Linked DNA regions of Astyanax mexicanus. The protein of the gene in region 1 purifies or fractionates together with the protein of each later gene. This does not show direct contact. Links are inferred from orthologs where the notes say so. Each region holds a gene or a part of one and is shown in the gene's direction. Other genes may lie near its edges.

Region 1 (7,907 bases):
ACCAAATGTTCTCGAGTTACCAGCTGACGTCTCTGATGTAACTGTGTGTTTTACCTGATGCAGCAGTGCAGAGAGTAGTCTGTGTTTAAGAGTACATACAGCCACCTTGTGGACACATGACTGTGGTAATCCACAAATCAGAAGGACATCAGTGTAGACCTGTTATCCATCCATTTAATATACTGAGAATTCTGATTACTTCTTAAACAACTGTATACTAATAGAAACCCTTTTTTATTTCTGCAATAGATATATATATACATATATAAACCGTCAACCGTGCATTGTGCGGCTTGATTTATTGTTTGTCAGTCTGTCTTTGCTATCAAAACAACGTGAAAAGTAAACCTTGCCCGGCTTAGACACATAAAAGACGTGTCACTTGCTATTCCCTTTAAAACACAGGTTAGCTCTGACTTTGGCACATTTCTGGGGCACAGCCATGGGTGTGGTAATGGGGGGAAAAGTGGACCTGACTACTCAGGGCCCAAGTAGGAAGAGGGGCTCATGAAAATCCTGATTTGTTTTTGCTCACGTTCCTTGTGTAATGGCATGGATAGGGGCCCACTGACACTAAGAGTTGTGGGTGCAGACAGGGAGGGTGCAGAATTTGCTGCTATGCCCCTGGGTATACCTGGACATTAACAAAACTTCTTAGCAGAGTAAACTGACCTGCTTTTGTAATGCTCACTCATTCTGTTTATTGTTGATGTAAAAGTGCTATGGGTTTTTGCACTGCATTATGGATAAATCTGTTGACAATTCACTGCCAAGATTGCAATGACGTCTGACCAATGCCTAGGTTGCTTTCAGACAATGGCACACTTGTGTTTTCCGTTGCTAAGATAGCAATACGGCAAAAATATTCCTGAACACACCTCACTTCCAAACCACAACGCCCATCAGTGTAGATATATTCACCTTACTGTAATATCTACATCATGTAAAAGAAAAACTTATTACATCAGTTAATGTAGCACATACAACACAATAACCTTTATAGTCATAAATAATATATTATACAACAAAAGCCACAGTTAATCCTGTTAAAAACAAACACAATGCTATTGGCTGCTATCTTTCATCAGCTTTCTTGCCATTACATTTTAATTCATATTATACAGGATCTCTCCTATAGAAATCATTTGTTATTAAATTCTAAATAAATAGAAAATAATGTGACTGAAAACCCCTGTAGATAAGGCTTTTGTCCTATTTCATCCACATATTTTGACACTGGAGTTTTACCCATTTCTGCTGAGAGTGTGCAGAAATCACAAACAGTCCAGATAAAACAGAAAGTGGATTCCCATTATAATGTTCTGTTCCACCTTAAAAGCGCCAAAAATATTGACAGCTTGAAGACGGTGTGCCGCCACAGCAGCATTTAAGGCGGAATGGTAAATTAGCAGCATTTAAGGCGGGATAAATGTGCAAATGTGAGGTATTTATGTAAGGAAATTGTGTTTAAAGTTGATATTTCAAGCTAAGTAAAGCTAAGCGCTACTTACACATAATGCTGTAGCTCGAGCAGCTTGAGTGCCATAACTTAGACACAAGCCATCTGACCAATAATGAGGCAGGCAGGTAAACTAGAGAAATGTTCATTGACATGGAATGGTATGATCCACTTTAGGGGTGCTTGAAATCGTATAACAATATTCTTCCAGGCATAGATACTGTATTGTTTTTTTTTAGTATTGAACGTTATATGTAGCATTATTAAATGTTTTGACCCCCAAACTATTGTTTTAACCAATTTAGGTGGGGTTAAAGTCTTAATTGGGGTGGTCTGCCCCCACCTCCCCAATACCCCCGTAATTCGCACCCTGCCTTATACAAATAATATACAAATATTGTATGTAAAAAGTATGTTTATTTTTGTGGATTGTTACAGTAAGAAGAAAATGCAAAAAAAATCATTGAGCGAAAAAAAAAGCTGTAACATATTTAACAAATATGATGAAAAAAGCCCTCAAGAAGCATTAATTCATTAACTTACTTTGAACAGAACATTTCACTGTCCAATGTTTTTTCAAATTCAAACTACAGTAATTATATGGTTCCCTGAAAGTATGGTAAATTTGGAAAATATCATAATATTGAATTTTCAGCCTTGAATAATAAGCTTATCTTGGCATATGTTGAGGGCTTGAGACACATTGTTCATAACAGAGACTGTGAAAAAGTTCTATTGTAATTCAGATTGATGTACTCCTGTTTTGCAATAGGGCACTTCTTCAGATGAATGAGCTGTTAAACTGGGGTAAGGGTGGAATAATAGGGTGTGAAATGACCTCAGTATGACTATCAGACTTTCAATTGGTCAATTTTGCTGTCTTCTTCTTGTCTGACACGTTGTTGCACCATTACAAGAGCCAGTCATCTTCTTCTTTTGAGTCCTTAAATTGTCTAAGAACTTTACTTAGTCTTAATATATAGGGTTTAATGGTCAGTAAAGTCACAAGTATTCATCCAAGATCAGGAAACCTCAATTCCAGTAGCTTATCCACATATAGCTTGTGAACATCATTGCTGTGCAGTGAAAATCATGAATCCCCTAAATAGTGATTTTACAGGAGAAGGCAGTTTTTATACTTTTGAATGAAAGTTAGTGAAAAATAAGATTGTTTCATGTAATTTTAGAGCATTTTTATTGCTCTATTCATTCTGAATTATTTACTTATCCAGAGCAGCTACATGGTTCAAATGCTGGAGAAAACAACGGAAAAGGGGAGATTTGTGTTTTTCCCTGGACAGCAGCAACAAACAATATAACCAGTTCAAAAGTACATTGTATTATTTTGTATATAATCCACTGTTACAAGGTTGAATTTTAGGTCTTCTCAGACTGTATAGATAATGTAATGGAAAAGTTTGGGCACCCTTGGCCAGGTGATGAATTGTATTATGTTTTGGCATTTAGAAGCAGTAAAAATAACCTTTTTAGCTAATTAAACATAAATTACAATATATTGATATGTTCAACAAACCTTAATGCACAGTTACTCTCTCTCTCTCTCATAGCATAAATATATGGTCTGGCAAAACTTCTGAGTCAGGACGTGGTAGCACCCCTCTGGCAGAAATTACAACTAAAAGTCTCCTTGTTCCTAGTTGGTCCTACTCTGCTCTACTCCTGAGACACTTTTGAGTTTTCTTGCTGCTCTTTTAGTTTTTAGGTCTATCTACAAATTTTCTACACTGTTAAATTATTGCTGATGTTGAGGTATAATTTGGATCTTTATCTTCCTATAAGAAATGCAAGCTGGTTCAACACTTAGTTAGTCTTTTACACTTTAGCAGATATTTAAACAGTTTCTTAGAGAAGTCCATGTTTGCTAAATGTAAGTAAGGATAGAAAGATAGATAAATAGATGTGTAGCAGCTGGGTTTTTTATTTATTTATAATTTATAATTTATAAAGCATGGAAACTTGATTCATCTGACAGTTTCTAGTTAAAATAGGTGACATGCTTCTGGCCTGATTTGCTAAACAATGTATTAGACCTAAGAACTAGAGTGTGAAGAGCGAAAGACAGAGTAACATTATTAGGTTTGCTGAAAATAGACAACTAATTATAAACATGAAATAATAACAGAACTTGTGCCATATAATGCAAAAACACATTTCACCAAAAATCATTGAAGCTTGTTAACACAGAACTTACAGTTACAGGCAGAAGGGCTTACATGGGGAGAATGCAAATAAGATGGTGCCAACTACCCAGAGGTCAGGGTTGACAAAATACTAGATATTTGGACCTTAAAAAAAAGTATTCCATTTGTATCTGCTCTGGGTATTTTCTTTTAATAGAGTGAAATTTGCCCAGCGTTAGTAGAGTGTAAGTTCCCTTAACTTATGGTGGAACTCAGTATTAACCAATACATACAAAATATGTTTCAGGTACTGTAAGGTACAAATAAAGAAATATGAACAACTAGGAACAAGAGAGAAGCAATTGGTTAACTTTCTGACATGTACACAAAATTTAATTTTCCCAAACTTATAGTTTAATCTCTGGATAAACCAGTACATATAAAATTGGGTAACATTTCCTGACATTTACCATTATCTTATTCCATAACATCTCAAGCCAAAATGTCTATAACTGTCTGCTCTGGAGTTAAGTTTTCTTCCTGCAGCCTGACAGTTTTGAGTTGCTGCAGTACTGAACATCCAGGTCTGCTAGAAGCATAAAATCAATTCTGATTTTATTATACTCACACAGTTCCTCTTTTACTTACACTGTAAAACACAGAATGTTGTTACTCTCCTGTTCCTGGCTGTCCATATTTCTTTATTTGTATATAATTTAAGTACCAGTAAGACCTGGTGTGTATTTTGAATGTACTGATTTATACAGAGAAGTTAAGGAAACTTACACTCTAAAATGTGGGCCATATTATAAAGCATTACTCAATTGTTTTATGAAGTGAAGGTTTTAAATGCATAGGATAAAGCTGTGCTTTCGGTTTATTTTCACTGTCTGCACAACAAGATGTGTGTGGGCATGGGATTCTTTATGTGTAATGAACATTTCAACTATATTAACAAGTTTTAATAATCATGCAAAGTCTTACAGTAAAAGGAATATACTTTTTTATGCCAAATGCATTTTACATATATTGTTTAGTGTATTTGCTACTGCTTAATGTTTTTTTCAAAAACCTGGAAAACTAAAATATTTTGTATATTTGTATGTTCTACATATATTTATTTTTAATATATGATAATTTTGTGCACACGTTTTACACATTTATTTTTAAATTTGCACAGAACATGTTTAAAGTATGTACTGTATCATAATTAATATTAGGATATTCTCCTTGGAATTGAGTCTGATAGAAAACTAGTGGATCTGTACGTGGATAACACACTACTTAGCAGCTGTGTAGAATTGAACTACATTTAAACTACATTTCCCATCCCTCTAACGGACCGCCCCATCGCTGGGATCAGCACAGTGTGATTGGTTGGTTGTACGCCGAATGCCAGCACGCTGAATGTGATTGGCTGCTGTGTGAGCGCGGGGTCCCGGATGTAGTGGCTGGTGGAACTATATAGCGAACTGAAAGGCGGGTAACTCAGTTTAAACGAAGCTCTCTGGATTTGTGTCCGCGCTCTACGGCAGTTAGATTCGCACAATGGTATCGTAAATACGGCTGTTTAATTTATTTTATAGTCTGTTTGTGGTCTGTTTAATGTTATTAAGATATTTTAACGCGTTTTTCCGCAGGGTTTCATTCATTTAGTTCATTTAGTATAGAGCCCATTGTTTCCAGGGCTAGTTTCGGCTAACTAGCTAGCAGCTAACGACTCGGAGCCAGTTCGTTGCCTCGACGTTAGCTTAGCTAGCTGGCTAGCTTAGCCACAGACCGAAACGTAGTGCTAGGTTGCTAACCTAACGCTAGCTTACTCGCTGCCTGTAAAAAGCAAGGCAAGGGCGCCCATAAGGCTGTTAGATTTTACCGCGCTTGTTTAAAACACTGTAAAAAGCCCGGATATAAATTTAAGCTCTTAATTTCTCCGTTGTTATTTTTCAGGCTGGAGGAAAAGCTGGTAAGGACTCAGGAAAGGCGAAAGCCAAGGCTGTTTCTCGCTCCCAGAGGGCAGGACTGCAGGTTTGTACCGAGACCGCCGCGCTAACAGGCGGGCTGCCGCCGTATAACTGAAAATTGCTTCTTTTTTTACCATTATTGCTAAGCATTTAATCTAGTTAGCGTTCAAGCGTAAGAATTTACAAAAAAAACGTTCGGTTAATTGGTTTACTAGATAAATAAATAGTTTTGTTTCCCTATTTTTGCTTTTGTATGAGCTGATCACTGACCAAAATACCCGCAGCTGAAGCTTGTTAACTAGATGAAATGTAACGTTAGTTAAGTTATGTCTACAAGTGGTGGGCGATGTAGCCCTAAAATATCACGATAATTTTGCGACAACATTCTTGGCGGTATGACAGAATACTGAAAAAATAATTTAATTAAAATCCGGTTACAACAACAAAATTTATATTGCTGATATTATTGAATGCATATGAGATGTTACATGCCAAATTAAGGTTTTCACCAGGTTGTAACAAAAGTCAATTATCCAGACTGTCATGATGCTAATAATGCACTCCATATATCCAGTCTTGAAGCAAAAGAAATGATAATGGACAGAGATAATCAGTCTCTGAGATATTTCAGGGGAAGCATTAACAGTGCTTAAATTGTACCCAAATGGCCTTTTTTTTGTGCAATAACGAACATGTAAATAACCTTGTCTGCAAAAAAAAAGTATATGGTTAGTAAAAATATCATGGTTAACTAGTTTGATTAAATGTTTATCTACTAAAGGTTTGTGTACTTTGCTACAAAGAAATTCTTGGCAGTATGAACATTTAAATTAAAAATACAAATGTATCGAATACGATATGAATGCAGAATATTTTCTATTATTGCATACAATATAATATGCTATCCCTAATTGAGATATTCACAGATGTGAATGATCCAACATGAAATAAGTGATGCACTCCATATATCCAGGACTGAACTAAAAATAAATGTACTTATATAATCTGTCTATAGTAGATATTATTTAATGGGAAATGAGAACCGTGTGAATTTTTCTTTTCCTACAAACAGAAGAAAAAAAAAATCTGTGCCCCAATATTTCAGGGTATTTTTGCAATAACTGTGTACGTTCCAAAATTTGACATTGTGTGTAAGACAATATGGTACCCCACCAATGTCTAAACTAGCAAAAAAATAAATCTAAAACCAAGTGGTAGAAGCAGCAACAAATAAACAAATGGGTGCAGGGGATAAATACACATGCTTGTGAGTATTGCATTGGGGCAAAATCCAATTGAGGTTAAACATTTCTCCATTACCAAATTTTTGTTCCCCAAACTGAACATTGTAATATCCAGTCTAGATTTTTACACAGTAAAAATGTCAAATTTTGAATTAGTTGTTTTTTGTGTTATTTATATTGTATATCTATATCTTGTCTTTATGTGGCAGTTCCCTGTTGGACGTATTCACAGACATTTGAAGTCCAGAACCACAAGTCATGGGCGTGTAGGAGCCACTGCAGCTGTTTATAGTGCTGCTATTCTGGAGTACCTGACTGCTGAGGTAGGGGGATAGCAAAACATTCAGCCATATGAACATCAGCACTGATGTATGTAATCAGAATGTGTGTAGAGTTCTAGATGGCACGAGTTCTAGATGGCAAGCATGTATTTTACAGCTCTGTGATCATTGCAACCTTTCAGTTCCAAGACGTATGCCTGGCTAGTGAATATAATTTTAAAAATAAAAATAGGTCATTTTAATATTGATTATGTATCACTTTGAGTAGCTGCTTAGTGTTTCTATTCATACGTTGTATACACTTTGTCTTAGTTAAGTTCTATCTAGGAGATTTTTAGAATTTCCTCATGTGGAAAATCCTGCTAAGCAAGCCCTGTATTTTTTACTGACTGTACTAAATTGCCCCACTAATTAGGTTTCTGTTTCCACTTTTTAAGGTTCTTGAGCTGGCAGGAAATGCTTCCAAAGATTTGAAGGTGAAGCGTATTACCCCCCGCCATTTGCAGCTCGCCATCAGAGGTGATGAGGAGCTGGACTCCCTCATCAAAGCGACCATTGCTGGTGGTGGTAAGTTGTGTATATTTATAGTTTCGAATCAAAAGTTTTATTTAAGAGAAGGGTGTACGTTGGTTTTGGCAAGTATCAGACAATGTCAACACTTTTTAGAGCTTTGTCTGTAGAATGTGCAAGAAATTAGTTCAACACTACCAAACAACTTTTTTTATTTTTATTTTTTTTACTGTAGCTTGGCATTGATTTTTATAGTTTTCCATTTAACAACTTTCTCCTTTCTCTTTCTTCATTTAAGGTGTCATTCCCCA
Region 2 (7,913 bases), on another chromosome or scaffold:
TATCGCGATAACGATACTCTTGACGATATGACAAAAAAAAAAAAAAAAATACACTACTGCAACAAAACAAAACTTACATTATATTATTGTATACGATATGATATTGCACATCTCTAACTGAGATAAAAATACAAGAATATCTCCATATATACAGTAGGGGTGGGCGATATGGCTCTAAAATAATATCACGATATTTCAGGGTATTTTTTGCGATAACGATATACTTGGCGATATAGGAAAACAGAAAAATAATTAATTAATTTCAGGAATATAGTATAAGAGTATAAAAGCATAATCATAATGTGGCAAAATATAGCATAAAATAATATAATGCAGCAAAAAATATTGCAGAATATTTAGTGCAAGCATATAAACTGCAAAATAAAACAATTATACAATAAATACACCTAAAGCTTCACAGTAAATAATAGACTACTTTTAAGACAGAACATCTCTATTATCACGATATGGATTTTTAATATCACAATATTTCTGTCTCACGATATATTGTATACGATATAATATTGCCCACCCCTACATAGGAGCTTAGTATTTTACATATTTTACATTTTCATTAATGTTAGTCATTTAACATGTTATGTGTTAGTTGATTTTACAATTTCATTGGCATCACTTTTTATTAGAGATATAATAATATAAGCAAATTAAGAGGCAAAACAGAGAAAAGAGGAAGGAAAAAAAAACAAAACAAAAAAAAAGAAGACAAAAAGGTGGGGAAAAACAAAAAGACAAAATATTGCAAGAAGAAAATAAAAATATTAAGGAACAACAACAAAATGAGCAGAACAGCGACAAAAAAGAAACTATAAATAAATATTTATTTGGTTTATATGTGGAGACAAGAGAGAAAAAGAAAGAAAATGGATAGAGAAAGAGGGAATACGAAAGATAGAAAGATACGTATTGCCTAGTCAGTATGTATGAGTGTTTGTTTAGAAACATAAATTAATTAGTTTGTATTAATTTGGCTGGTAATTATGACCAAGCACTAAAAATAGGACTCTCTGGGGAAGATAAACTAACAGGAACACAGTAGTTCTGGTGCTGTTCTGTACCTGAGAGTTGGAGCTGAGGGCGAACTTGGCGAGAGTACAGGCTTTAGACAGATCAATCAGCAACAGGAAGAACGGCAGCGCTTCACTGAGGAAAACACAGAAACAGGGTTCCTCAGCACTTCAGAAATACAGTCGAAATAAAAGTAGTAACGGCACATTAAAAAACTAAATAAACTAAAATAATAAAAAAGAATAAAAGCTCTTACTTGAGGCCCGTGAGCTCCTTTCCCAGGAAGTGAATAACCACAGTGCTGAAGACAAAACTGGAGAACACAGTGAAGAGACCAGCAATCCCTGCACACACACACACACACACACACCATATATTTCTATTGGTCCATGATGATCCAAACATAGCAAAAACAAACCAAAAAAAAAACAATGTGTACACTGGACGATATGGTAAAATTCTACATTACGATATATTTCTTAATTTTGGCCGATACACTTTGATTTGTAAAGAAAAAAAAGATTTAAATATTTAAAGACATTTTCACAATACACAGTATTTATCATGTTTTTGCACATAGACAATATGCACCAGTAGACAGTATGAACAGTACAGTGACATTTCTTACACTTTTGCAGCACATCATAAAATTAAACAGGCACTGATGATATTCTTAATATTCTTTAAAAAGTATTGTGGAGGAATTGTGCAGTGGTGAACTCACCGAGCATGTACTTGGAGCCGAGCTGCCTCAGGTTTTTAAACTGAACGTAAATGTAGACGATGGCCAGACACCTTGTGATGGTTAGGATTATGATGTCAGAGCTCAGGATTTTCTGAAAGAGCAAATAAAAGATTTTGTTTCCACTTTATTTTTAAACAGTTTCCAGTCAACTGTAGAAACCAACTACAGGTGTGAAAAACTCAATTCTGAGTTTTTGAGAATTAATATAGTATCGCAGACATTAATATCCCTTTAATATATTAGAATACCCCTAGTCAGAAAGTGTGTACTCTAAAGGCCTATGTACCTCCTGCACTTTAGGGCACTGGTAGTTCCAGTCACAGATTTGATCTCCTCCAGCGATGGCATTCATGGACATGAGGCAGATGGTCACGGCGATCGTCCCCACGATCACCTCCCAGGGATGCGAGGCCACAAACAGGCCATGCAGCCTGAAGAGCTGGGTCAGCATCGTCACAGCAATCAGCACGTCTTCTGCAGGAGAGAGACACACACAGAGACACCAATCAGAACCGGGTAAAGCCCCAATCTCAACACAAAGACACCAATCTGAACCTGGTGAAGCTCCAATCTCAACACAGAGACACCAATCTGAACCTGGTGAAGCTCCAATCTCAACACAAAGACACCAATCTGAACCTGGTGATGCTCCAATCTCAACACAGAGACACCAATCTGAACCTGGTGATGCTCCAATCTCAACACAGAGACACCAATCTGAACCTGGTGATGCTCCAATCTCAACACAGACACCAATCTGAACCTGGTGATGCTCCAATCTCAACACAGAGACACCAATCTGAACCTGGTGATGCTCCAATCTCAACACAGACACCAATCTGAACCTGGTGATGCTCCAATCTCAACACAGAGACACCAATCTGAACCTGGTGATGCTCCAATCTCAACACAGACACCAATCTGAACCTGGTGATGCTCCAATCTCAACACAGAGACACCAATCTGAACCGGGAGAAGCTCAAATCTCAACACAGAGACACCAATCAGTGCAGTGACTGCACTTAAGCATACTTTCAAAGTTTTTAAAAAAGTTTTCAAATGTTTTGGATTGACTGATTGGTTGAGTAGTTCTTGCTTCTTATAATATAAAGCTGTCAAAACTGTCATCCTCCACTTCCTCCTCTTTATGGATGATAATTTTATTGTTGCATTGTAATCAGATAATTTATACAGCAATATGAACCAGACGTTACACAAATTAAATATATTATTAATATAATGAGTAAAATATATTATATTTATTATTCCTCTCTATTATTTACTTATAAAGAACCACTTGGACTAACTGGCCAGTTTTTGCTTTACTGTTCCCCTTTTTTAATACAAAAATACATAGGCGTTTGCTATGAATACATTACATATAAATTATTACAGTATGTAATTAATAAGAGCTGAGATTAGAAGAAGAGGTGAAACAGAAGTCCAATATTTTGCGTAATGATGAAACACATGTGTCCTGTTACTCTGATACTGGATCAGTTCCGACATGCTGCACTAGAATGCGTCAAATGCCAAATCCTGCACCCCAAAGGACCCGTCCGCCTGCTAAAAAAAAAAAAGAATCAACCACCACTTTGCGACCACAGACTAAAAAATGCATTACCAAATAAATTGGTTAATATTTCAAAATATTCAAAAATATTGCAGGTTTAACTAATTAAACTGTCTTTTTTCTTTTAAGAAAAAGTATATTCACACTATTTACTTTTTGTATAAGCTACAATATCAAACATTCCAGGTAAATATATCTTTAAAAATATTTAAATGTTTTTTGTTAATATAACAATACTTAAACAATATTGGTATTATAAAAAACACGTTAAAATATTATAAAATTTAAAAAAAAAATCTTTTTTGTCTAAGAAAACGATTTTTCAGCCCCTCTAACTAATTTAGAGCTCAGACAGCACTCATTTATTTCAACCAATCAGAGAACAGCAGGAAGCGGAGGGAAGCCGGATTTCGTCGAGGACGAATGACAGCACAACACCGAGTGTCTATTTTAACGCCCTGCTAGCTGCCTTTAGCCGAAAGCTAAGCAGTTCTACCCACAGACATCAGCCAAGGTCAAACCCGCGTCCTGAAAGCAGCAGCGGCGCGGGCAGAGCCGCGCTCCGGAGAGCGGTGGCGGGTTAGAGGACCGGTGTTCCGCCCAGAGAATTACCTTCATGATATAATCCGCTCCGCAGCTCCTCCGCTTCTCCTCCCTCTACAGCGATGGCGGCTGTGAGTCAACCAAGGCGACCTGGCCACGCCCCCCGGTGTGTGATGTCACCCAGGGTCTGGTCCAATTTGTGTAGTATAGGCTGCACACTTGTACCCTAACTATGGGCCCTCCTTTTTTTTAAGTTTGGTCTGAGACACTAGAGGGCCTAAAATGAATGGGTTCTTATGGAGCACTTGAGCAAATTTTTTTATAAAGATTTCCTAACCTTTAACTCACAATATGCAAATTAGTCACAAACTGAAGTCACAACCATTTGCGTCTCACCACTATCAGAGGCACACTGCTACTGCTGCAGCTCAGCCAATCGGCTCTCCTTCCTACCCCGCCTCTAAACCCATACATCACCCAGCGTCCCTCTCAAACTACCCCTTACATTTTTTTGCCTTTTTCATTTTTGAGCTAGAGGTCGAGTCAGCTAAAATCATGCGAGCCATCAATATGTGCTACTTTTACATACTCATAATGTTGCTTTCCAAAAACGGGCCCTTTTCACATTTTTTTGGATATTTTTTTCCTTAATAAATGAAATCTTAATTTAAAAAGTGCTTTACATATTTTCCCAGGTTATATTTGTCTGAAATTAAAGTTTGTTTGATCATCTGAAAAATGTAGAAAGAAAGAAATCTGTAAGAGGCAAATACTTTTTTATGCCACTGTACGTGCATAAATATCTGTAATTCAAATTTCTCTATTGGCTATTATAAAAACACTATGATAAATTCTCTCACACTGCTTATGGCTGTTATTTTAATTGTAGCTCAGTGTGGGAAAATTCTGTATTTGATGTTTTCTGTTTTATTAATTATTTTTAATTATTTGTTTGTGCTGAAATTGTGTGGGTTTTTTTTATTGATCATCCCAGCGGATGCGGGCCTGTGTCTGCCGGTGATTCCGCGCATGCGCAGTGCGCTGCATTGTGCTGGGCAAGATGGCGTTGAGTAAAACGTTCGGTCAGAAACCGATTAAATTCCAGTTGGAGCAGGATGGAGATTTCTATATGATCGGTTCAGAGGTGCGTATTAAGCGTTTTATCAGTCCTGTAGAGTCTGAACTCGGAATACGAAGGGTTGGGGGCTAGTTTAGGCCGGTAACCCCCGGTACAGCGCGCCGTCCCCTCAGGCTTTGTTGGTTGTTAGCATAGATGCTAACGATGAATGAGTGAAGACTGAGGCAGCGCTTAAAACACTGTTACACTGAATTTTACACTGAATTCACACTGGATTTACACTGAATGTATCAGTTTATACACATCAGTTTTGCTCTAAATCATGTCTGTGTTGAGTTACCGCAGCAGTGTGGTGATGTTTACAGTAAACCCCCCAGTCTGTGTTAGATACAGCATCAGCTTTACCAACACTGTCCTTAAACAACTTCTAAAACCTCATATTTGTCTACTGCAGCTTTTAGATTTAGTAAAATAATCATTTAAGCCCTTACTGTAGCCTTATGAAAACGGTCTTCACCAAAGCAACGCAATATTTACAGTACACACACACACACACACAGTTATGGAAACATTAAGAGACCACTTCAGTTTCTGAATCAGTTTCTCTGAATTAACTATTTATAGGTAAATGTTTGAGCAAAATTATCATTATTGTTTTATTCCATAAATTACAAACAACATACTCTTAAAGTTTTAAGAGTTCAGAAATCAATATTTGGTGGAATAACCCTGTTTTTAATCACAGCATCATGAATGAGTGCAGTGAATAGCAGTATACACACACTAGTGCATCTCAAAAAATTAGAATAGTAGTTTTATTTTTAAGATGTTTGTAGGTACAGACATTTGTTGTGGGCATCCTTGGCAGTTTTTCTGGTGCTTTTATGTAGTTCTTATCAATATTGAAAATTATATCTTTTCTTAACCAGAATTAGGGACTCTAACTTGTGATATATATTTTTTTGGCCATATTGTCCTGTCCAAATGTATGTTTATTAAACTAGGACCTGGCATTGTAATGTTTTCTTCAATGTATATCAGAAGTGGTTTAACGTGATGATACACTCCACTTGAAAAATAAGTGATATTAGTCAGAAAATTATTTAAACTACTTAGTGTACATAAATGAGACTAGCTTTCATACACAGCAATATCTGTATTTCTGTATTTATAGCAAATATGCCACATAACTTGCAATGAATACAGATATTGTATGCTGTGTATGAAAGCTAGTCTTCAATAGACCTAATGTACGAAGTAGTTTAAATAATTTTCATAAATGCAAAATATAAAAGTTAGTGTTTCTGTTTTATTGGTGTAATATGGAGTTCAGTAGAGTGATGGTTGATGGAACAAAAAAAAACTATACATACTTAGTGCTGCTTCTCTGTCAGAAGACAGAAGAGCGGATCTTAAACAGTATTGTAAACAAACATTAACCAGATAAGCCACATTTCCAGAAAATAAACTGTTTAAATCTTTCTTTCAAAACAGTCTGAAGAGCTCAGAAAAGAACATACATTACAGTCAGGCCTGGGGCGCCCTCAGTAAAGTATACAGTGCAGAATTAAAATGACCAAATAAAACCAAACAGTCTGACAGGAGAGATATTTGTGGTCTGTAGTGGTATTTAATGTTTGTCATATTTCGGGTGTAATAATCATTATCTATTATTTGGGTCAGTGCTTTTTTAGTTTATTTTTATTTTTAAACATCTTGTCTATAAATATACACCTAATATGGGACTAAAAGATATGTATATGTAAAGAAAGATTAAATGCTTTTTTCATTTTGTATGATTTTGTTTGCACACCACTGCAAGTATTGATTGTGTTTTGACTGCATATTGTTCCCTATAGGTAGGAAACTACCTGCGTATGTTCAGAGGGTCACTGTACAAGAGGTACCCATCCTTGTGGCGACGGCTTGCGTCAGTGGAGGAGAGGAAAAAGATCGTAGCATCATCACACGGTAAGTGATTCGAATGCCAATAGCATTTGTTTTATGATGATTTTAAGTCCAGAAAGCAGTTTTAGGAGACCACGGTCTTGTTTAGTGCATGCCTTTGCTCCAGATAGTCCTGTAGTCCTGCTTCTGGACAGCATTTTGTGCAGTGTTTTATTTTGTGTAGGTTATTGTTACACAACTTTAGCCACCAGTGTGACTCTGCTGAAAGCGTCTGAGTGCGAGGAGATCTTTGAGGGGAACGATGAGAAATACAAGGCAGTGTCCATCAGCACGGAACCTCCAGCCTATCTCAGGTACGGCTCCTTTTTTTGTCTTTTCTCCTGGACTGAAAATACCCTGAATGTAGGTAAATGTTTTTTTACTTATTTTAAGGACAGTCAGTTTAGATGATGGACTGTTTTCTCTCCATTTTATTCAGAGAGCAGAAAGCGAAGAGGAACAGCCAATGGGTTCCAACCCTCCCCAACAGCTCTCACCACCTGGATGCTGTGCCTTGCTCCACTACAATCAACAGAAATCGCATGGGACGGGACAAGAAGAGGACGTTTCCCCTGTGGTGAGAGATGGTTTAATTTCTTAATTGCCATGGCTGTGGCTAAAACGTATTCTTATTTCCTTATTAGTATTTCAATAGACTTACTAAATAGTGCAAGAAACATTTATAAGTAGGATTTTAGTCAGTCGAACTTGAGGAGCTTCTGTATTGAATAGAATGTTAGCTATTCTGCTAAGTTAATGTTAACCAGCTTTTAACTCCTGGTTCATTTTGTCATTTGTAACGGCCAGATTCATAAAATAGTGCATGCACATAAACGGCAAACATAAACAGTACAAAAAATACACTTAATGCTTCACAGTAAATAATAGACTACTTTCAAAATTTGAAAATCCATCCATTGCACAGCCTTACCAGCTAGTAAGCTAATGCTATATGCACAAACACAGAACGACAGAAGCATTTTGGCATTTATAGTGAGTAC
Region 3 (7,345 bases), about 30 Mb from region 1:
ACACTTTACCTGCATGCACACCTGCAGTTACTGCACTCTGTCTGTTCATTAACCAGTGCTGGTAATTAACCTGTGTGTTATCTGTGTGTTAACGTATATGTGTGTTACCTGGTTGTTAATTAACCTGTGTGTTAATTAACGAGTTCTTTTAACTGTGCGTTAATGTATCTTTGTGTTAAGTATTATGTTAGCTGATGTAAATTAACCAGTTTGTTACCATTGTGTTAATTTACCTGCATGTTAAGTGTTGTGTTAATGAACCTGTGTGTTACCTGTGCATTAATTTATCTCTGTGTTAATGAACCTATGTTACCTGGTTGGTAATTAACTTATTTGTTACATTTGTGTTAAATAGCCAGTATTATCTGTATATTAATTAAACTGTGTTACCTCTGCATTAATTAACCTATGTGTTACATTTGTGGTAAATAACCAGTGTTGTATATTAATTAATTAATTGTTACCTGTGTTTCAATTTACCTGTGTGTTAACTTGTCTGTGTGTTAATTAACCTGTGTTACCTGATTGTTAATTAACCTGTGTGTAAGTGTATGTGTGTGGTACATTTTTGGTAAATAACCAGTGTTACCTGTATGTTAATTAGACTGTGTGTTACCTGTATATTGATTAGACTGTGTGTTACCTGTGCAGAATTAACCGTACATAAATTAACCTGTATGTTAATTACTTTCTCTTACCTGTCTGTGCTCCAGGTGCCAGCAGCCAACGTGACGGTAACTGTCGCCACCCTGCGGGCTAATGTGACAGGTGTGGTTCAGGAGGCGGAGTCACGAGGGAGGAGCTCAACACCTGTACGGAAAAAACCTACAAACAAACAAACGAACAAGCAAACGAACAAACGTGAGAAACGTAAAAACTGCTTCGGGTTTAAGATGGACCGGATCAGCGACCTGAGCGGGATGGGCTGCAAAACGGCAGAAGTGGCGCCACCTGGGAATTAGAGTGGAATTACAGCCTGAGGGGGCGGAGTTTACAGTGCTGAACGGACTAAAGACTGGATACTGATATATTACCCAGCAGCCCTGTGGAGATCCTGAACACTGTATCACACTTCAGTGACGAAAAGCCCCGCCCACTTTGCATCTCATTTTTATTTACGTAGAGAAGAAGGAGGCGGGGCTACACTTAGGAATGAAGTGATTGACAGCCTCGTCGAGTTGTAGTCCAGCTTTCTGATAGCTAACTAGTTACAATACTAGAGATAATGTTCCAGGATGCTAATGCTAGTTAGCATCACAACATTATTATAAAGTTTCTCACATAACATTCTTTTAATAACATTTCTTTTATTTTATTTATTATTACTTTTATTTTTTATTCTAATGTTTTATATTTTCATTCTTGTTCTTAGTTCTATTATTCATTTTATCATTTCTTACCATTCTTAACATTTTACTTTACTTTTACTATTATCTTTTTACTTATTTTATATTTTACTTTTTATGTGTCAATTAGTTTTTTATGGTATTTTAGAATTTTCTGTTGTACATTTATATTTTATTTATACATGTTAAATGTTGATTTAATATGTAGTACTTTTTTATTATTATTATTTTTTTACTACTTGATTCCTTTTTATTTCGAGTTTATTATTAAAGGCTTTTAATCCCTTTGATGTTGTAAATTATCAGAAACATTCTCTTAATGTTTTTTCCCGAGTGAAAATAAAGCTTAATTGATTGATTCCCATCCTGACGAATATTAACATTATGGAAACGGTAAAAGTTAAAAACTAAACATTTGAAACACTGACACAAGTGATGTTGCAGCAATGTTACCACAGCGTTAAAAAAAAATAGTCAAATAAAAATGTTCTAAGAACATCCATAAAATCCATTTTTTGTTAACTGTAACGATTAAAAAACATAGTAAATAGTAAATAGTAAAATATTGATTTAAAATTAGTACTTTTTTTTTTTTACTATTTTATTCATTTTTATTTCGAGTTTATTATTAAATGCTTTCAATCCCTTTGATGTTGTAAATGTTTGGGAACATTGTAAAATGTTAAATATCATGTTAAATAAAAATGTTCTAAGAACATCCATAAAATCCGTTTTTTGTTAACTGTTCTACTAACTAAATATTGTTAGCTGGAAAACTAGCTAACACCCAATCGATACGGTAAAAATAATATTATTTCTATTTTTTTCCCATTTTCTCCCCAATTTACTCAATTACCCAACCCACTCATTAGGACTCCTCCTATCACTTGTGATGCTCAATAGTATTATTACTCTCCTCACATTTACAGTATGTTCTGGTCTGGATCGAGTCCTAACAGCATTTAAAACATTATTTTTTGCTCTCTATATAAAACGATATATAGAGTATATTAAGTTCAGTAATGTTACAGGCCTCAGGCCCATGCGTCGCTGCTGCAGCTGCATCACTGAAAGTTTATTTTATATCAGTAACACTGATGCTATTATCTGATTATTGTTATTATTTTTATTACTATTTGTAAATACTTTCCTGCACATTTGTTCCTGCTTATACTGTACGTGTATAGTGTGTGTTAATATGTATGATTTGTTTTTTTGTTTTAAATAAAAAACAAATAGTCATGTTGGGTCAGTTTCCAGGTCATGAAATTAATGATGGGATTAAACCTAATCTGGGTCTGGGAAGATGATCCCGATGAAACTGTCACATAATAACACTGTTATCTAAATAATAAATACTGTTCTTTTATACCTTTTGACTTATTTATTTTTTATTATTTATTTGCTGCACTACACCCTGCATACCATATTCCCAGTTTACAAAAGATATTGATTCATAATTTATTTATCATGAAAATTATAGTGACATTTAATAAGATTTTTTCATCAACTAATAAAAGCTAAATGAAAAGGTGAAAGACTGACAAATTGGATACTTATCTATAATAAACAGTATTATTGATCAGTGATCGGAGTGCCCCACATATTGTGTAAATATAGTGGTTAATTAATAAAAGTCCAGATACAGAACGTCAGTAATGTTAGTAGAAACCTGTACTGCAGTAGAAGTGTTTAATTTTTAGTTACTTGACTTTATTTTTCTCATCTTTATAGCGTAGTTGCTTTAAAACCTTTTAATATTAGCATAATTTTAATGTACCGAAACCTAAAAGCTATTTGTTTTAATAAACATTAATAATAAATAAATAATCTCAAAATAATAGTACAAATCTAAAACAGTACAACAATAAATCTGTACATAAAAATCTGTTTTATTAGATTCTAAAACTAATGATGACTAAACAAGTAATATGTGACTAAAACTAGTATACATTTCAATTAAAAAACTGAAACTAAATCAAAACATCTGTCAATATTCACACCGTAACAGAGAACGCTATGAGAACGTTTATCAACGTTTTGAAACGTTTCATGAATGTTTCTCTGCTAGACCAATACTAACATTACGGAAACATTTTCAGTACCATCAACTAACATCAACTAAAAATTAAAACATTGACACAAGTGATGTTACCAGAACGTTTAAAAGTGTTCAATAAAAGATTTTAAGAACATCCAGAAAACTTGACAGATTTGAACGTTTTAAGAACGTTATCTGTAACTTTCAGAAAATGTTCTACTAACCAAACCAAGCTCTGCTCTTTCACTACTAAGTATAAATATTTGTATTTTATTAAAGATATATCACTTTTATAAGTTACAGAGGAATTACACCCCCCTCTGTTTACCTTATAAACATTAGTTGACAAACTATATATTATAAGATTTCTCCTGATAAATTATTTTTCAGATTCATTTATTTATCTAACTGCTTCTTACCTCTGTATTAAATTAACAGCTTAAATAAAACAATGAATCTACTGAAACTAATAAAAATAAATAAATAAAAATTAGCTTAAATCAATGGATAGCTAGCTAACTTTCCCATTCCACCTTAAATGGTGCAAAAGAAGGTAGAGGCTGCAGTATTTAAGGTGGAACTGAAAAATAAAATAAAATAAAAGCTAATTTTAGCTCCTTAACACCCGGTCTGAGACCTGTTCTAGTCCATATTATGGCAAAAACTACTCAACTAAGTAACGACAAAAATGAGTTTAGGAAAAAAATTAAGTAATGAAACAAAATCCCCTATGAAAAAACGTTATGATGGAACTGGCCCTCATAAGTTTGACCACTTCATTATTAATTTACAGTGTAGGAAAAATAATAAAATTAAAATAATAATAAAACAACCAAGGAGAATGTTTCTCCATACATATATATGGTGCTGTATATTAATTTATATTAATTCTAATTTATTAATAATTAAAGCAGTTTAATCACTCTGATCAGCTCTGCTTCATCCGGGTCTTCCCGCGGCCCCGCCCCCTGAGTGACCCGTATGCAGCGGCGGAATATGGCGGAGGTAGGACGGAAACTCTCCTGATTTCTCCTAAAAACAGGGAATAAAGTGCGGGATTTCTGCGGTCTCGCGCTCTCCCCGCGCCCCGCGCGCTCACCACGGCCCCGCACTCAGCCCCGCAGCGGCGCGCGGGCAGTACCGGGCTTTTCCCGCCTTTAAACTTGTTGATTTTAACACAAATACCCGCCACTGTAAACTTATTAGCACTGTTAGCCTGTTAGCGGATTTCAATCCGGATTAAAGCGGGTTAAAATAAAGCGCATTCCGCGGCGGCGCGCGGGTAGTGATGTAATAATACGGTTTTATTATTCCGGTGTTTTTTATTCAGTAATATCAGTTCTGTGAGCGGGTTACGGGCTGCAGTGTGTTAAATCTGAATCTGAGATAATGAAGCTAAAGCTCAAACTTCCACACTGTTCCACATCTCAATTCGGATCTAAATCCGCATTTAAATACACTTATAGGGCTGATCATTCACATTATACTGCATTTTAAATCATATAAATATAAAAATCAGTTTTACACTGCGAGTCTGCTTCACCAAAATCATCAGTTTATCTGTAATTTGGTTTAAAATTAAGTTTATTTCAGTGTAATTCAGTATACTTTGCCCGTCACTCCAGATTATCAATTTATATGACGGACAAACTTAATTATTTTTCCACTAAATTCAGTTTTACAGACTATGACCAGGTTGTTACATTAATACGTATTCAGTTTCATTTTATGTTGCCAGTTTATCACTAATTCAGGTTTAAATTCAGTTTAATTCAGTGTAATTCACTATATGCTGCCTATCAATCCAGATTATTATTATATACTGAAAGTCAAATCTTCATTTATTCAGCAAATGAAATAAAACTCCCTAAAACTAAAGCTGTTTTAAATATATTAATACTGTAGCTTGAATGATATTATATTTTAATGCAAACTAAACTGTACGTATTTATTAACTGGAGAGAGAAGGCAACTGTGGCTGATTTTAATACAGTAATGCCTCTAATGTCTTCAGAAAAACAATATAAATTGATATATATATTTTAAATACTTAAATGCTGAGTATATTGGGTCCATTTGTAGTGTTTATGGAACTATTTAAAAAAATAAGCCATGTTGAAGTTGTTGCATATCTTTTTCTAAAGTCTATTGTTCACATTCTTCAGCTGTTTTTCTGATAATAAAGTCTGAATAAGATAAATAAGATAAAATAAAAATACTGTGATATACATTTTTGGTCATACCGCCCAGCACTACTGTGTGTGTGATGTACAGCACGACGGTGGATTTATACTGTTCGTATCTCTGTTGGAATTATCAATTATACTGTAGTGACCTAAGTTCTCCAGCTCTCGAGAAAATTAAAGATATCACTTCAGTTTCTGAATCAGTTTCTCTGATTTTGCTATTTATAGGTTTATGTTTGAGTAAAATGAACATTGTTGTTTTATTCTATAAACTACAGACAACATTTCTCCCAAATTACAAATAAAAATATTCTCATTTAGAGCATTTATTTACAGAAAATGAGAAATGACTGAAATAACAAAAAAGATGCAGAGCTTTCAGACCTCAAATAATGCAAAGAAAACAAGTTCATATTCATAAAGTTTTAAGAGTTCAGAAATAATCAATATTTGGTGGAATAACCCTGGTTGGTTTTTAATCACAGTTTTTAATCATGCATCTTGGCGTCATGTTCTCCTCCACCAGTCTTACACACTGCTTTTGGATAACTTTATGCTGCTTTACTCCTGGTGTAAAAATTCAAGCAGTTCAGTTTGGTGGTTTGATGGTTTGTGATCATCCATCTTCCTCTTGATTATATTCCAGAGGTTTTAATTTGGTAAAATCAAAGAAACTCATCATTTTTAAGTGCTCTCTTATTTTTTCCTAGGTCTATATATATATATATTGTGATTTACGTTTTGGACGTATCATCCAGCTCTGAGCGTTAGTAATCCTTCAGGAACTGTGAAGCATCTAAATTATTGTTGAAGATGAGCTGATCATTCTCTGACCCTGTCTCTCTCTCTCTGTCTGTCTCTCTCTCTGTCTGTCTGTCTCTCTGTCTGTCTCCTGCAGTCCTCCTTGGGGAATTCAAGCCCAGGTAAGCCTCAGTCTGAAGTTGTGGGAGTTTCTCTGAGCAGATCTGTATCAGTGTAGATTGTGTTTTTGATTTCTGGTGGTTGTGAGGTGTTGTGGTGGATCAGGGCTGATGGGGGCGTGGTTCTGCTGCAGGGGTTTCGGTGGACTTCGACCCTTCGGCTGAAATGCTGGTGCAGGAATTTGACGATGAGCGCACCATGGAGGAGGAGGAGCTTATGGAGGGAGAGACCAACTTCCGCAACGAGATCGACGACCTGAACAGAGTGAGTAACAGAGTGAGTGCATCATTCCGTCATTTCATCATTATATCACTCCATCATATCCAGCCGGGTGCTTATTTCCAGCCTTCCATCTGTTTCAATGTGGAGAGGCCAAAATACTGGAAACCAAACGTCAGATTATCATTTCAGAAACATATTTTAGAACATTTTCACACCTGAAAATTCAGACCAGCTTCTGCACAAAAGGTTTATATGTTTATTATCAATCAATCAATTGACCTTTATTTCCACTCGGTAATACCAGGGTTCCCACGGGTCCTTAAAAAGTCTTAAAATACCTTAAATTAAAATCTTTATCATTAAAATCTTAAATTAGTGTAGTTAGTGCAGAGCTAGCTAACATTAACGGGAGAAAACTAAGGTTAGCTGTGTTAACTTTAGCAACGAGCTAGCTAAGATACTAACGTTAGCGGCGAGTTAGCTACGTCACTGTGGAGAAAACCAGGGTTAGCAGAGACCTAGTTAACATTAGCGGAAAGCTAGCTAACATGCTATATTCTGCATCACAATGGAACAAAATTGATAAATGCAAAACGTTGAGTTTTAATTTTCAATACACTAAATTATTT

The links.
Region 2: the proteins of histone H2A.Z (region 1) and smarcb1b purify together in Homo sapiens (affinity purification with mass spectrometry; 3 studies listed by BioGRID and IntAct, with this or other methods). This does not show direct contact. The link is inferred for Astyanax mexicanus from reciprocal best matches to the Homo sapiens genes H2AZ1 and SMARCB1.
Region 3: the proteins of histone H2A.Z (region 1) and mier1b purify together in Homo sapiens (affinity purification with mass spectrometry; 3 studies listed by BioGRID and IntAct, with this or other methods). This does not show direct contact. The link is inferred for Astyanax mexicanus from reciprocal best matches to the Homo sapiens genes H2AZ1 and MIER1.

Annotation. Positions count from the first base shown.
Region 1 is NC_064415.1:30,686,631-30,694,537, forward strand, and holds the start of histone H2A.Z, read left to right. Parts: upstream 1-4,902; 5' UTR 4,903-5,148; coding exon 5,149-5,151; intron 5,152-5,547; coding exon 5,548-5,625; intron 5,626-7,014; coding exon 7,015-7,128; intron 7,129-7,523; coding exon 7,524-7,653; intron 7,654-7,894; coding exon 7,895-7,907. UniProt on the Homo sapiens protein: Variant histone H2A which replaces conventional H2A in a subset of nucleosomes. Nucleosomes wrap and compact DNA into chromatin, limiting DNA accessibility to the cellular machineries which require DNA as a template.
Region 2 is NC_064424.1:46,282,191-46,290,103, reverse strand, and holds the start of smarcb1b (SWI/SNF-related matrix-associated actin-dependent regulator of chromatin subfamily B member 1-A), read left to right. Parts: upstream 1-4,901; 5' UTR 4,902-4,947; coding exon 4,948-5,031; intron 5,032-6,824; coding exon 6,825-6,936; intron 6,937-7,096; coding exon 7,097-7,226; intron 7,227-7,351; coding exon 7,352-7,489; intron 7,490-7,913. Other genes in the region: hmgcrb (3-hydroxy-3-methylglutaryl-CoA reductase b), read right to left, coding at 1,077-1,161, 1,283-1,370, 1,751-1,862, 2,058-2,245, 3,256-3,280.
Region 3 is NC_064415.1:897,913-905,257, forward strand, and holds the start of mier1b (mesoderm induction early response protein 1b), read left to right. Parts: upstream 1-4,333; 5' UTR 4,334-4,368; coding exon 4,369-4,392; intron 4,393-6,471; coding exon 6,472-6,496; intron 6,497-6,627; coding exon 6,628-6,770; intron 6,771-7,345. Other genes in the region: natriuretic peptide Na-NP-like, read left to right, coding at 714-962. UniProt on the Homo sapiens protein: Transcriptional repressor regulating the expression of a number of genes including SP1 target genes. Probably functions through recruitment of HDAC1 a histone deacetylase involved in chromatin silencing.